Linked DNA regions of Saccharomyces cerevisiae S288C. The main gene of each other region encodes a partner of the protein of the gene in region 3 in a complex. Each region holds a gene or a part of one and is shown on either strand. Other genes may lie near its edges. A codon is read from its position in the direction of its gene.

Region 1 (3,100 bases), on a different chromosome or scaffold from region 3:
CCAATTTTTTCTCCTTATATATGAATAGTGCCATTGCAGGTTCTTTGTTTTCGTTATGGTATCCAAAACTGGCACGCCTAGCCATTGTCGGACCTAGCTTGGGTGCCAGTGGAGCGCTATTTGGGGTTTTAGGATGTTTTTCATATCTATTCCCACACGCTAAAATTTTGCTGTTTGTTTTCCCAGTCCCAGGTGGGGCTTGGGTAGCATTCTTGGCTTCAGTGGCATGGAATGCAGCTGGTTGTGCTTTAAGATGGGGGTCATTTGATTACGCTGCGCATTTAGGTGGCTCTATGATGGGGGTCTTGTACGGATGGTATATAAGTAAAGCTGTAGAGAAACAAAGGCAGCGTCGCCTTCAGGCTGCTGGTAGGTGGTTTTAATCACTTAAAAAAAGACACATTCTCATTCGAAATATTGTAAATACTGCTATGTCTTCTATGTACTTAATCTTATTTATGCATTTGAAAAATATTTCAGCCTTATCGTGGTGGTACATGTACAAGAAAATTCATAGGCAAAAGAATATATAGAATAGAGCGTATGTGTTACTTTTCTAAGTCTTACTTCCTGTTTTTGAGTAGTCCCTCTTTGACAACAAAATATGCATTTTTGGATTCCGCGGCAAGTCCAGTTGCTTTCCAAGATCCGCTAACTTCTCCTAGCTCAGCATCCTGCTTTTGGTGGCTGATGCCTTCAAGTAGCTTTGTGTAGTTCAGCTGTTTCGTATTTCTTTGCACCAACCGAGCATCATATTCCTTGGTGTGCTTTTCACCTTCGACAGGTATGTTATGGAGTTTGTTGATGAATGATAATTGCTTGGCAAGTCGCATTTGAATTTCTTTAATATCTGCTCCTTCCAAGGGAAGACCTGATAACCGCAACAATTTTTTTACAGCTTCAGCAGACGGTGGCTCTAGTTTTTCCTCTTTAGTGTTTATGCCTAAATATTCGTGGACGGACCATACAGGTCTTGATAAATAATCCCTTATTTGATTCATATTTTCAAATTTTTTACCAATCTTTGCCCCTCCCGTAGATACGAACCGATGACTTCCATCATGGCATAACCCACCCACTGTATGTGTTCTGCATAGACGCCATGTTTTGTACATCGTTCTAGCACTATGGGTAAGTGCAAATAGTTCGATCTAAAAGCCTAAATGCTAGTCACTATTACCTCCTTGATGTTATATTTACAGAATAATGTCATGTCGTCTGTGGTGACTATTATTATTGCCTGAAAAAATTAAAGAAAATTTTTTGCGATGAGATGAGATGAGAAAAAATGAAAAATTTTGGAAGGTTAATTAGAGATGTGTAGTAAATCCTGCTGGTGGAATACATTTTATTCCTGTAGAAAATAGTATAGTAACAGCGGTATCCTACTTATACAATGAGAATCAAGAAGAAAAACACCAGAGGTAACGCAAGAAACTTTATTACCAGATCTCAAGCTGTGAGAAAATTACAGGTTTCTCTTGCTGATTTCAGAAGATTATGTATATTCAAAGGTATCTATCCTAGAGAGCCAAGAAATAAAAAGAAGGCAAACAAGGGCTCTACTGCACCAACTACTTTTTACTATGCTAAGGATATTCAATATCTAATGCATGAGCCCGTTTTGGCTAAATTTAGAGAACACAAGACTTTTGCTAGGAAACTAACAAGGGCTTTGGGTAGGGGAGAAGTCTCTTCTGCTAAAAGGTTAGAGGAAAACAGAGATAGTTATACTTTAGACCATATTATCAAGGAGCGTTATCCAAGTTTCCCAGATGCTATAAGGGATATTGATGATGCTTTGAATATGTTATTTCTTTTCTCTAATTTGCCCTCTACCAACCAGGTTTCCTCGAAAATTATCAATGATGCTCAGAAAATCTGTAATCAATGGTTAGCCTATGTTGCCAAGGAACGCTTGGTTCGTAAAGTGTTTGTATCCATTAAAGGTGTTTATTATCAAGCCAATATTAAGGGTGAAGAAGTTAGATGGTTAGTTCCATTCAAGTTTCCAGAAAACATCCCCAGTGACGTTGATTTCAGAATTATGTTGACCTTCTTAGAATTCTACTCGACTCTATTGCATTTCGTCCTATATAAGTTATACACCGATAGTGGGTTGATTTATCCGCCAAAATTGGATCTTAAAAAGGATAAAATCATAAGTGGTTTGTCATCATATATTCTAGAATCCAGACAAGAAGACAGCCTACTAAAACTTGACCCAACTGAGATTGAGGAAGACGTAAAAGTTGAAAGTTTGGACGCATCGACATTAAAGTCTGCCTTGAATGCCGATGAGGCAAATACTGATGAAACAGAAAAGGAGGAAGAACAAGAAAAGAAACAAGAAAAGGAACAAGAAAAGGAACAAAATGAGGAAACGGAACTAGATACTTTCGAGGATAACAATAAGAACAAGGGTGACATCTTAATACAGCCAAGTAAGTACGATTCTCCTGTTGCTTCTTTGTTTTCTGCATTTGTTTTTTACGTTAGCAGAGAAGTTCCGATCGATATTCTTGAGTTCTTGATCTTATCTTGTGGTGGTAATGTCATCAGTGAAGCTGCTATGGACCAAATTGAAAATAAGAAGGATATTGACATGTCCAAGGTCACTCATCAAATTGTTGACAGGCCAGTTTTGAAAAACAAGGTAGCTGGCAGAACGTATATTCAGCCACAGTGGATATTTGATTGTATCAATAAAGGCGAATTGGTACCTGCCAACAAATATCTTCCAGGGGAGGCTCTTCCACCTCACTTAAGCCCATGGGGTGATGCTATTGGTTACGATCCAACTGCTCCTGTCGAAGAAGGCGAAGAAGAAGAAAGTGAAAGTGAAAGTGAAAGTGAAGATCAAGTTGAGGAGGAAGATCAAGAAGTTGTTGCTGGAGAAGAAGATGATGACGATGACGAAGAGCTACAAGCTCAAAAAGAGCTTGAATTGGAAGCACAAGGTATCAAATATTCTGAAACTTCAGAAGCTGATAAGGATGTCAATAAGTCAAAGAACAAAAAGAGAAAGGTGGATGAAGAAGAAGAAGAAAAGAAATTGAAAATGATAATGATGAGTAACAAACAAAAGAAACTTTACAAA
Region 2 (4,273 bases), on a different chromosome or scaffold from region 3:
ACTTCTTCCACTTCTAACTCATCCTCTCCATACAACCAAAGCACCTTCGAATACATTTTGCCGTCAACTTCGGCAGCTTCCACAAATTTATCGTCGTCATCATCAAACAACTCTATGCACACCAACCCAACCACTGCAACATCGACATCCGCCGATTTAATCAATGATTTACCCGTGGGCCCCACGTCCAGTTCGCTTATCTCGGATCTACATTCTCCACCAACTGTATCTTTCCTACCAGCAAGCCAAACCCTGCTCATGTCCTCCACCACATCTAGCTCTATTGGCACCAACATAAACCCACCGCAACATTCACCATCCCCATCGCAAAGGGAGGATTTTTCGACGGCACCAGTGAACATGTCTTCGTCCGCATCACTCTTGATGAATGATTCTTCTTTAGGATGGGGGTCTAACCACATGAACGTATCTTCATCCTCTCAACCAGCATCATCAAGACCCTTTGGCATTTGGAATACTGACATGAGCGTTTGGAGTTGAGATGTTTACGTATATTTTTATGTATATTATTATCATTAGTATTACTATTATTGTTATTATTTATGCACGGTTCCTATTTACACGCGGCGTTTATATTTTACCATTGAATATTTAAGATCTCTTTGAATTTTTTCTCGAATTCGTTTGCCTTTATACGTCCCTGGCTTCGTCTCATTCCTTGTCCAATTAGGAATTTTAAAGAGGACTTCTTTTTACCAGTAACCAGGTTCCGTATAAAAGTGTCATCTGTGTGCTGTGCAATGACATCATTACAGAGATCCATCAATTCTTGAGGGTCGACCTGATTAATCGCATGCAATTCAAATTTCTCGATTAGTTTTGAAAAATCTGGAATAGACAAATCTTGGCAGTTACTCTGCTCGAAATTTTCCAATATGTGAAACAGTAACATTTTACCACTAGTTGCGGATATAACCTCTTCATGCAATAACTTCAAAAACTGGGCGAAAACCGGAGGAGGCAAAATTTCTTTTGCTTTGGCCAATGGAATTTGTAGCTTGTTCAAATCTCCCAAGAATTCATGGATTATCCAATTCGTAGGTAATTTCGCGTTACTACGTTCACCAGCAAGCTTGGAAAATTCACGGAAGGTGTCTAAGTAGTACGATCTCAACGCCTCATGATTGTACATATCGTTTTGGTTACTATTATAAGTCAGAATCTTGGCGTCCTTCAATGATAATTGATAGGGTTTCTTCATAAGAATTCTCATTATATCGTCCGGTAATTGGGGCATCAACCCTCTCACACCACTGATAACGTCTGGTGCGAGGTTGATATACGGCAATTCTGGATCAGGCATGTACCTGTAATCGATCGTGGTTTCTTTGCTTCTCAACTTCACCGTTGATGAGCCTGTCCAGCCCCTTGTTTCTGGCTCCATCAGTGAGCTAGTGTCACCCACAGAAATCAACTCAACTTGCCGCTGATATTCGTACTTGATTGCATTGATGATGGAACTAGTATTGGGTAAATTCTTCAACTCAACGCGTGCATATTCATTAATTGAGAGGTTAACGTCCACTCGCATGGCGCCCGTTTCCAGGTCCCCAGAGGAAATGTGCAAATGACGTACCAAATTCTGATATTTTTTAATAAACGCTCTAACCTGTTTAATATCACTGAAATCTGGTTTAGTTACCAATTCGATAAGCGGGACGTTCGACCTATTTAAATCAACCAAAGTAATAACGTCTTTATCTGTCTCTGTATAGTGTGACTTCCCCGTGTCCTGCTCTATCTGCAACTGTAAGATACCGATTTCCTTGGCTGATTCATCGATATCATCCAATTCCTTCGACAGATTGATCTTCCCACCCCGAGCAAACGGCCTGTAGTGCTGCGTCAGTTGATAGCCTTGAGGTTGATCTCCATAAAAATAATGCTTCCTATCAAACTGAGATATGCTATTCACTTGAGAACCCAGTGCCAAGGATAGTTTCATGGCAAACAAGATTGCTTCCAGATTCAAAACCGGCTGCGTTCCCGGTAGAGCTATGTCATAATAACTAGTATGATGGTTTGGTGCATCCACTAGAGATGTGGCGCTATTCGTTGATTGTGAAAAAAGCTTGTTTTTGGTGTTCAATTGCGTATGAATCTCCAATCCACACTTCAATGCATATTCCGGCCTGAAGGGTGCACCGTGACTATGTATGGCTTTGGTTCTGGCCAAAGAATAAAAACGTGCAAGCCGCAACATATCTAGTTCCTACTCTGGTCTTTTTGGACAGGAATGCTAACAATAACACTATTACTAGGTGGTACGACTAAGTACATCACGTCAAGCTTATTACTACTATAACTACTATTATCATAACAAAAGGGAAAACTAAACCCTATCTAAACAAGGGTTATTTAAATTTTTAACAAGGGCATACAACAAAAAAATAATAAACCTAAAATCAGAAAGTTAATCTTTCAGGGCTTTTGAAAGTGGAATTAACGTCTCTAGTAAACGAGGATTGTTTCCAATGAGATTCTAAGACCCAAATATCCTCTTCTTTACTTTGAAATGTTTGCAATGGACCATGATTATGGATGTGTTCTTTGTGACACGCTTTCAATGTACTCTATATCGTGTTGCACGAAGGATTGTTACTTTATTTGTAAAAAAAAAAACAATTTTTCGAGATGGGACATTAATATTGTAGAATTCTGAACATATTAGTGAACAGTTCTTTCGGAGAATTACTGGAACCTAGGATCTGACAAGCGGACAAAAAAGCAGAGTGCGTTTATTACTTCTCTTTCTAGCGGTTGTTCATGTTTCAAAGTTTTTTCCACAACAATGGGCCCGCTGCTGCCGGTGAAACGTTTTCAGATAGCAGATCGTACCCTTTAACGAATCATCAAGAAGTACCCAGGAATGGACTGAATGAGTTGGCCTCATCTGCAACCAAGGCGCAACAACAACCTACACACATATTAAACTCATATCCAATTACCGGGTCCAACCCACTCATGAGGGCAAGCGCAATGGGGGCGACCTCTGGCAGCATCAATCCTAATATGTCCAACATGAATGAGCACATTCGTGTTTCCGGGATGGGGACTTCTAAGCCCCTGGACTTAGCGGGAAAGTACATTGACCATCTACAACATAAAGATAGTAACACTCCCGTACTCGACGAACGATCTTATTATAACAGCGGGGTAGATTATAACTTCAGCAGAGAAAAAAACGGCTTAGGAGCGTTTACTCCATTTGAAAAGCAAGATGTGTTCAACATTCCGGACGAGATTTTGCATGAATTTTCCACTTCACAGACAAAAACTGATATGGGTATTTTCCCGGAGTTAAATCGATGTTGGATAACTATTGATAATAAACTGATACTCTGGAATATTAACAATGACAATGAGTATCAGGTGGTAGATGATATGAAGCATACCATTCAAAAAGTCGCCTTGGTAAGACCTAAGCCAAACACCTTTGTGCCTGCCGTGAAGCATCTACTTTTGATAAGCACGACAATGGAGCTTTTCATGTTTGCTATTTCCTTAGACAAAGCCACCAACGAACTCAGTGTATTCAATACACATCTATCAGTCCCTGTACAAGGCATTGATGTAATAGACATTGTGTCTCATGAAAGATCGGGTAGAATTTTCTTCGCAGGCCAAGCCAGTGGCCTGAATATCTGGGAGTTGCACTACTCAGGTTCCGATGACTGGTTCAATAGTAAATGTAGTAAGGTCTGTCTGACAAAGTCTGCCCTATTAAGTCTTCTACCTACTAACATGTTATCGCAGATTCCAGGTGTTGATTTTATTCAGGCTTTGTTCGAAGATAATTCTAACGGTAATGGCGGATTTTCTCAAGAGACCATCACGCAACTAACTATTGACCAACAAAGAGGAATCATCTATTCATTATCCTCCAAATCCACCATTAGAGCATACGTAATAACAGAAAAATCACTGGAAGGACCCATGTCAATTGAGCCTGCCTACATCAGTAGGATCATAGGTACCACGACGGCAAGGGCAGCACCGATTTTGGGCCCCAAATACCTAAAAATTGTCAAGATAAGCTCTGTTGCACCAGAAGAAAACAACAATTTGTTTTTAGTTGCTTTAACAGTAGGTGGTGTGCGTTTGTACTTTAATGGTTCCATGGGCAGATTTAACATCGAAGCTTTGAGGTTAGAATCGATCAAGTTCCCCCCTAGTTCTGTAACTCCTGAAGTCATCCAACAAGAATTACTACATCAACAACAGGAACAGGCGAAGAGAAGCTTTCCTTTCT
Region 3 (3,733 bases):
CCTGATTTCCCTGTGTTTGGTGCTGCTGTGACTTACGATGCGAACGGTATGCCACAGCAAGTGGGTGGTGCTTCCAGTCAAATGTATGGTGAACAAGCAGTGTATCAGCCACAACAACACGTACAGACTGAGGAAAAGCAAAAGAAGAAGAAGAAGGGATTGTTTGGTAGAATGAAGAAGAAATAAGCGCTTGATACCCTTTAGAGACTTTATTTTTTTCTTTTTTATGATAATTTCTGTTTTCCGCTCTTATTTTGGATATTTCATATTTCATATTGTTATTATTACTATTATTATATATACATACACACACATATTTTCAATTTTTTTGTCATATGGAGACGAAAAAATGAAGAATGAAATTAAATTGGTTTATAAAATTATTTCTCCGCCTTTTATTTGCTATTTCTCTGTAGAGCTTCGTCTTCGAGGGTATCAATTTTACGCCTGATCTGCTCCATATTTTCGCGAATTTTAACCTCTTGTTCATCGAATTTTTTATCCAGCTCATTTAAAGCCTTTAGCCAAACTTTTCCTTGTTCTTGGATGCTGGTTATTTGTGAATCCAGCCCTTTCGTGGTTTCGTACACCTCGATCACCCTGTTGTTCATTTTATTGAGACTTTTCATCCTCTCCGCCAACAGTGGTAGTGAATCTTGATATTGCTTGAACATGGAATACATACTATTTATCTCCTTTACTTTGTTTTCGGGCATAACAAGCTTGCTCACGGTGTCATCTTTCAACCTCAAGTCCTGTTGTATTTTCTTGCCTAACAATGAGTTTTCAAATTCCTCGTTCAGTTCTACGAGTCTATCCCGGAACTTTTGCAGCTTTCCTTCCGCCTTATCATCGCCTTGTAAAAGTTGAATACTTCTATATAGTTCATTGACTTTACTATGAACCGATTTCCTATCTTCTTCTGCCTCCAAAGCTTCTGGTATGCCAACAAAACGTTCCATTAGGGATATTTTCTGATCTAACTTTTGCAATCTTTTGATATTACTCGTATCAAGAATTATGTTTGGCAATATGACGGTATCTTGGCCTTCATATGTTTCGAGAAGCTTCTTCCTCAAATTTGTCAATCTACTAGATGATTCCGTCGCCAATTTTGATTGAATTTCGCACAATTCCTTGATTTCAGTTTGCATTTCAGATGTTAAATTTTCTATTTTCAACTCCTCCAATTCTTCTCTTATTCTTTCTAATTTCTGTTGCCGACTTTCATCTTCTTCATCGTTACTCAACTTTCTCGCATCTGCACAGTCTGATTGGTTTTGTCTATGTATCTTGAAAAGCAACTGATCTCGAATAGCCCTTCTCAAACTCTCAACATCTCTCCCTGGTTCAACGATGAGCCCATCTTTTCTTGAAGATGCTTCTTCCTGCTCTTCTTGTTGTCCATCTTCCTTCACTTCATTTTCAAAAATTTCTTGAGATTCCTCATTGTCAATGCCAATCAAGCTATCATAATCCACATTGATGGCAGGATCACTTAAATCTATGACGTTCATCAACCAGTAGATTTCTTTATCTTTCTTAGCCTCATGACTTATCTGCTCTTCTTTTTTTTTTTGAAATGCATTGGCTCCCAAAAAAGTAATAGTACATCTATACTTGTAAACACTATTATTTGTGCTGGAAAGATGGCCCCTCAATTGGAGTCCTAACTTTGATTATACAAAAATGCCACTGAAACGCTCCTTAAAAGAATCAATCGAAAGATTATCTAGTTTTCAATCAAAATATAATATTTTCACTAGTATCAATCCATCTCCTTATTCAATCACAAATAAAAAAGGTACAAAAGAAACATTGACAGGTTGCGTTGCCAGTATCAAGGATAATATAGTTACAAAAGATTTTCCAACCACATGTGCCTCACATATACTTGAGAATTTCAAGTCTCCCTTCGATGCAACAGTAGTGAAACTATTAAAACAGGCAGGAGTGCATATCTTAGGCAAGACAAATTTAGATGAATTTGGAATGGGTTCTGGGGGAGTACATTCAATAAGAGGGCCCGTAATTAACCCTTTATATCCTCATGAGGACAAGAAGATCATGGGAGGTTCATCGTCTGGAGCCGCTGCAAGCGTTGCTTGCGATCTAGTCGATTTTGCCTTGGGAACAGATACTGGTGGCTCCGTTAGGCTCCCCGCATGCTATGGATCTGTTTTAGGATTCAAGCCGTCCTATGGACGGTTGTCAAGATTTGGCGTAATAGCGTATTCTCAATCTTTAGACACTGTTGGCATACTTAGCAAAAAGATAAACGTCTTGCGAAAAGTATTTCATACGCTCGATAAATATGACATGAAAGATCCCACTTCCTTAAGTGTGGAATTGCGTGAATTGATAGAAGGGAATAAAAAGGTTAGGAGACCTTTAAAGGTAGGAATTGTAAAGGAATTTAGCCATGAAAGTATGCCCATTGGGTTCCACAGATTATATTTATCCTTACTAGAAAAGCTGATAAATTTAGGGCTTGAAATATACCCTGTATCCATTCCATCTGTAAAAAACTGTTTACCGATTTATTATACGCTATCACCCGCTGAAGCGGCTTCCAATTTATCAAGGTATGATGGTATCAGATATGGATACAGAGATTCAGAACTCGATATAAAAGACGGTATTTTATTCGCACCTACTAGGTCCAAATTCGGAACAGAAGTTAAGAATAGAATCATTCTAGGTAATTATAATCTTTGTTCAGATGCATTTAAGAACAATTTTATTAAGGCAGAAAAGCTACGAGTTAATTTGATCGATGAATTTGACGGGATCTTCAGATTTCCAAATGTTTTAACTAATTCTAAGGGAAATCCAGACGGCCTAGATCTACTGATAGTTCCCACATCGTCCAAGCTTCCTGGATCCATAAGGGACTTCGAAGAAGAGGAAGCCAAATCTCCGGCTAACTCGTATATAAACGATGTCTTTACTGTCCCAATGTCATTGGCTGGACTACCAAGTTTATCAATGCCTTTAAAAGAGAAGACCCCGATTGGCTTACAGGTAGTAGGTCAATATGGTGATGATTCCACTGTGTTAGATTTTGTCGAGTCAATATCATAAATTTGTGAGGACAACGTTAATCATGTAAATATTATTATTTTTACTTTATACCTATAGAAAGTTCGAAAAAATTAATCTATGATATTCACATACAAAATTTTACCATTATACTGGCAGAACCCTAACTCCCGCTAATTTATCTACTATTGGAGCGATTGCTGGGTGAGAAAGTATGGGACCAATTATGGGCATTGATCTCAAAAATTGTACGATGACGCCAAAAAAATCACCAAAGAGACCTATAATACCTAGAGATTCAATTATAAAGCCCAAAAATGTCCATTTCAACAGTATTAAGAAGGCACCAACTAGGAAAAATAGTGAACCGCGCCTTTTGTTTGGCCTGGTAAAAAAAATATATGTCTTTTGTGAACCGATTATTAAGAATACTCCAATTAAAAACAAAATATTGCCCAAGGCCAATAGGGCACGATCAAAAAAAGTAAATATACCAAACAAAAAGAAGAGAAAACCGCCGAAAGTGAAGGCCACACCAAATTCTAGTGAAAAGTAAGTTGTTAGTAAAAAAGGAACTAACGTCTCTCGGAGAAGCAAAGAGCATCTAAAATATTAAAAACATACTTTGAGCCTCTGTGAGCCACATTTTACGCGATGATGGGTAAGCTAAATGATCACTGGGCTGAACTGT

The links.
Region 1: the proteins of HER2 (region 3) and GTF1 are in contact, whole or in part, in a crystal structure (PDB 4N0I), measured with the Saccharomyces cerevisiae proteins. Residues at the interface, in NP_014021.1 of Saccharomyces cerevisiae: Phe72 (codon at 1,903), Lys73 (codon at 1,906), Pro75 (codon at 1,912), Lys82 (codon at 1,933), Phe177 (codon at 2,218), Lys212 (codon at 2,323), Ile239 (codon at 2,404), Val240 (codon at 2,407), Lys241 (codon at 2,410), Glu242 (codon at 2,413), Phe243 (codon at 2,416), Ser244 (codon at 2,419), His245 (codon at 2,422), Glu246 (codon at 2,425), Tyr256 (codon at 2,455), Leu257 (codon at 2,458), Leu260 (codon at 2,467), Glu261 (codon at 2,470), Ile264 (codon at 2,479), Glu269 (codon at 2,494), Ile270 (codon at 2,497), Tyr271 (codon at 2,500), Pro272 (codon at 2,503), Val273 (codon at 2,506), Ser274 (codon at 2,509), Ile275 (codon at 2,512), Pro276 (codon at 2,515), Lys279 (codon at 2,524), Asn280 (codon at 2,527), Leu282 (codon at 2,533); in NP_011616.3 of Saccharomyces cerevisiae: Gly29 (codon at 1,031), Ala30 (codon at 1,028), Lys31 (codon at 1,025), Ile32 (codon at 1,022), Gly33 (codon at 1,019), Lys34 (codon at 1,016), Lys35 (codon at 1,013), Phe36 (codon at 1,010), Met39 (codon at 1,001), Ile42 (codon at 992), Arg43 (codon at 989), Tyr45 (codon at 983), Leu46 (codon at 980), Arg48 (codon at 974), Val50 (codon at 968), Trp51 (codon at 965), Ser52 (codon at 962), Val53 (codon at 959), His54 (codon at 956), Tyr56 (codon at 950), Leu57 (codon at 947), Ile59 (codon at 941), Lys76 (codon at 890), Leu77 (codon at 887), Leu78 (codon at 884), Arg79 (codon at 881), Leu80 (codon at 878), Ser81 (codon at 875), Gly82 (codon at 872), Leu83 (codon at 869).
Region 2: the proteins of HER2 (region 3) and PET112 are in contact, whole or in part, in a crystal structure (PDB 4N0H), measured with the Saccharomyces cerevisiae proteins. Residues at the interface, in NP_014021.1 of Saccharomyces cerevisiae: Val56 (codon at 1,855), Leu69 (codon at 1,894), Phe72 (codon at 1,903), Pro75 (codon at 1,912), Phe76 (codon at 1,915), Arg176 (codon at 2,215), Phe177 (codon at 2,218), Gly178 (codon at 2,221), Val179 (codon at 2,224), Ile180 (codon at 2,227), Gln184 (codon at 2,239), Ser185 (codon at 2,242), Met211 (codon at 2,320), Lys212 (codon at 2,323), Asp213 (codon at 2,326), Pro214 (codon at 2,329), Thr215 (codon at 2,332), Ala291 (codon at 2,560), Glu292 (codon at 2,563), Ser295 (codon at 2,572), Asn296 (codon at 2,575), Ser298 (codon at 2,581), Arg299 (codon at 2,584), Tyr300 (codon at 2,587), Arg304 (codon at 2,599), Tyr305 (codon at 2,602), Leu319 (codon at 2,644), Phe320 (codon at 2,647), Arg324 (codon at 2,659), Asn339 (codon at 2,704); in NP_009473.2 of Saccharomyces cerevisiae: Tyr66 (codon at 2,029), Ile69 (codon at 2,020), Ala70 (codon at 2,017), Leu71 (codon at 2,014), Pro72 (codon at 2,011), Gly73 (codon at 2,008), Thr74 (codon at 2,005), Gln75 (codon at 2,002), Pro76 (codon at 1,999), Val77 (codon at 1,996), Arg105 (codon at 1,912), His107 (codon at 1,906), Phe109 (codon at 1,900), Tyr110 (codon at 1,897), Gly111 (codon at 1,894), Pro114 (codon at 1,885), Gln115 (codon at 1,882), Gly116 (codon at 1,879), Tyr117 (codon at 1,876), Tyr123 (codon at 1,858), Leu177 (codon at 1,696), Asp297 (codon at 1,336), Arg299 (codon at 1,330), Tyr300 (codon at 1,327), Met301 (codon at 1,324), Pro302 (codon at 1,321), Pro304 (codon at 1,315), Glu305 (codon at 1,312), Pro307 (codon at 1,306).

What each region holds. Positions count from the first base shown.
Region 1 is NC_001139.9:694,021-697,120, forward strand, and holds GTF1 (glutamyl-tRNA(Gln) amidotransferase subunit F), read right to left. Parts: upstream 1,116-3,100; coding exon 564-1,115; downstream 1-563. Other genes in the region: rhomboid protease PCP1, read left to right, coding at 1-383; mRNA-binding ribosome synthesis protein NOP7, read left to right, coding at 1,397-3,100. UniProt on the Saccharomyces cerevisiae protein: Allows the formation of correctly charged Gln-tRNA(Gln) through the transamidation of misacylated Glu-tRNA(Gln) in the mitochondria. The reaction takes place in the presence of glutamine and ATP through an activated gamma-phospho-Glu-tRNA(Gln).
Region 2 is NC_001134.8:72,472-76,744, forward strand, and holds PET112 (glutamyl-tRNA(Gln) amidotransferase subunit PET112), read right to left. Parts: upstream 2,225-4,273; coding exon 599-2,224; downstream 1-598. Other genes in the region: YBL081W (uncharacterized protein), read left to right, coding at 1-501; NUP170 (Nup170p), read left to right, coding at 2,788-4,273. UniProt on the Saccharomyces cerevisiae protein: Allows the formation of correctly charged Gln-tRNA(Gln) through the transamidation of misacylated Glu-tRNA(Gln) in the mitochondria. The reaction takes place in the presence of glutamine and ATP through an activated gamma-phospho-Glu-tRNA(Gln).
Region 3 is NC_001145.3:854,750-858,482, reverse strand, and holds HER2 (glutamyl-tRNA(Gln) amidotransferase subunit HER2), read left to right. Parts: upstream 1-1,689; coding exon 1,690-3,084; downstream 3,085-3,733. Other genes in the region: GSR1 (Gsr1p), read left to right, coding at 1-186; JNM1 (Jnm1p), read right to left, coding at 396-1,517; GOT1 (Got1p), read right to left, coding at 3,190-3,584, 3,667-3,688.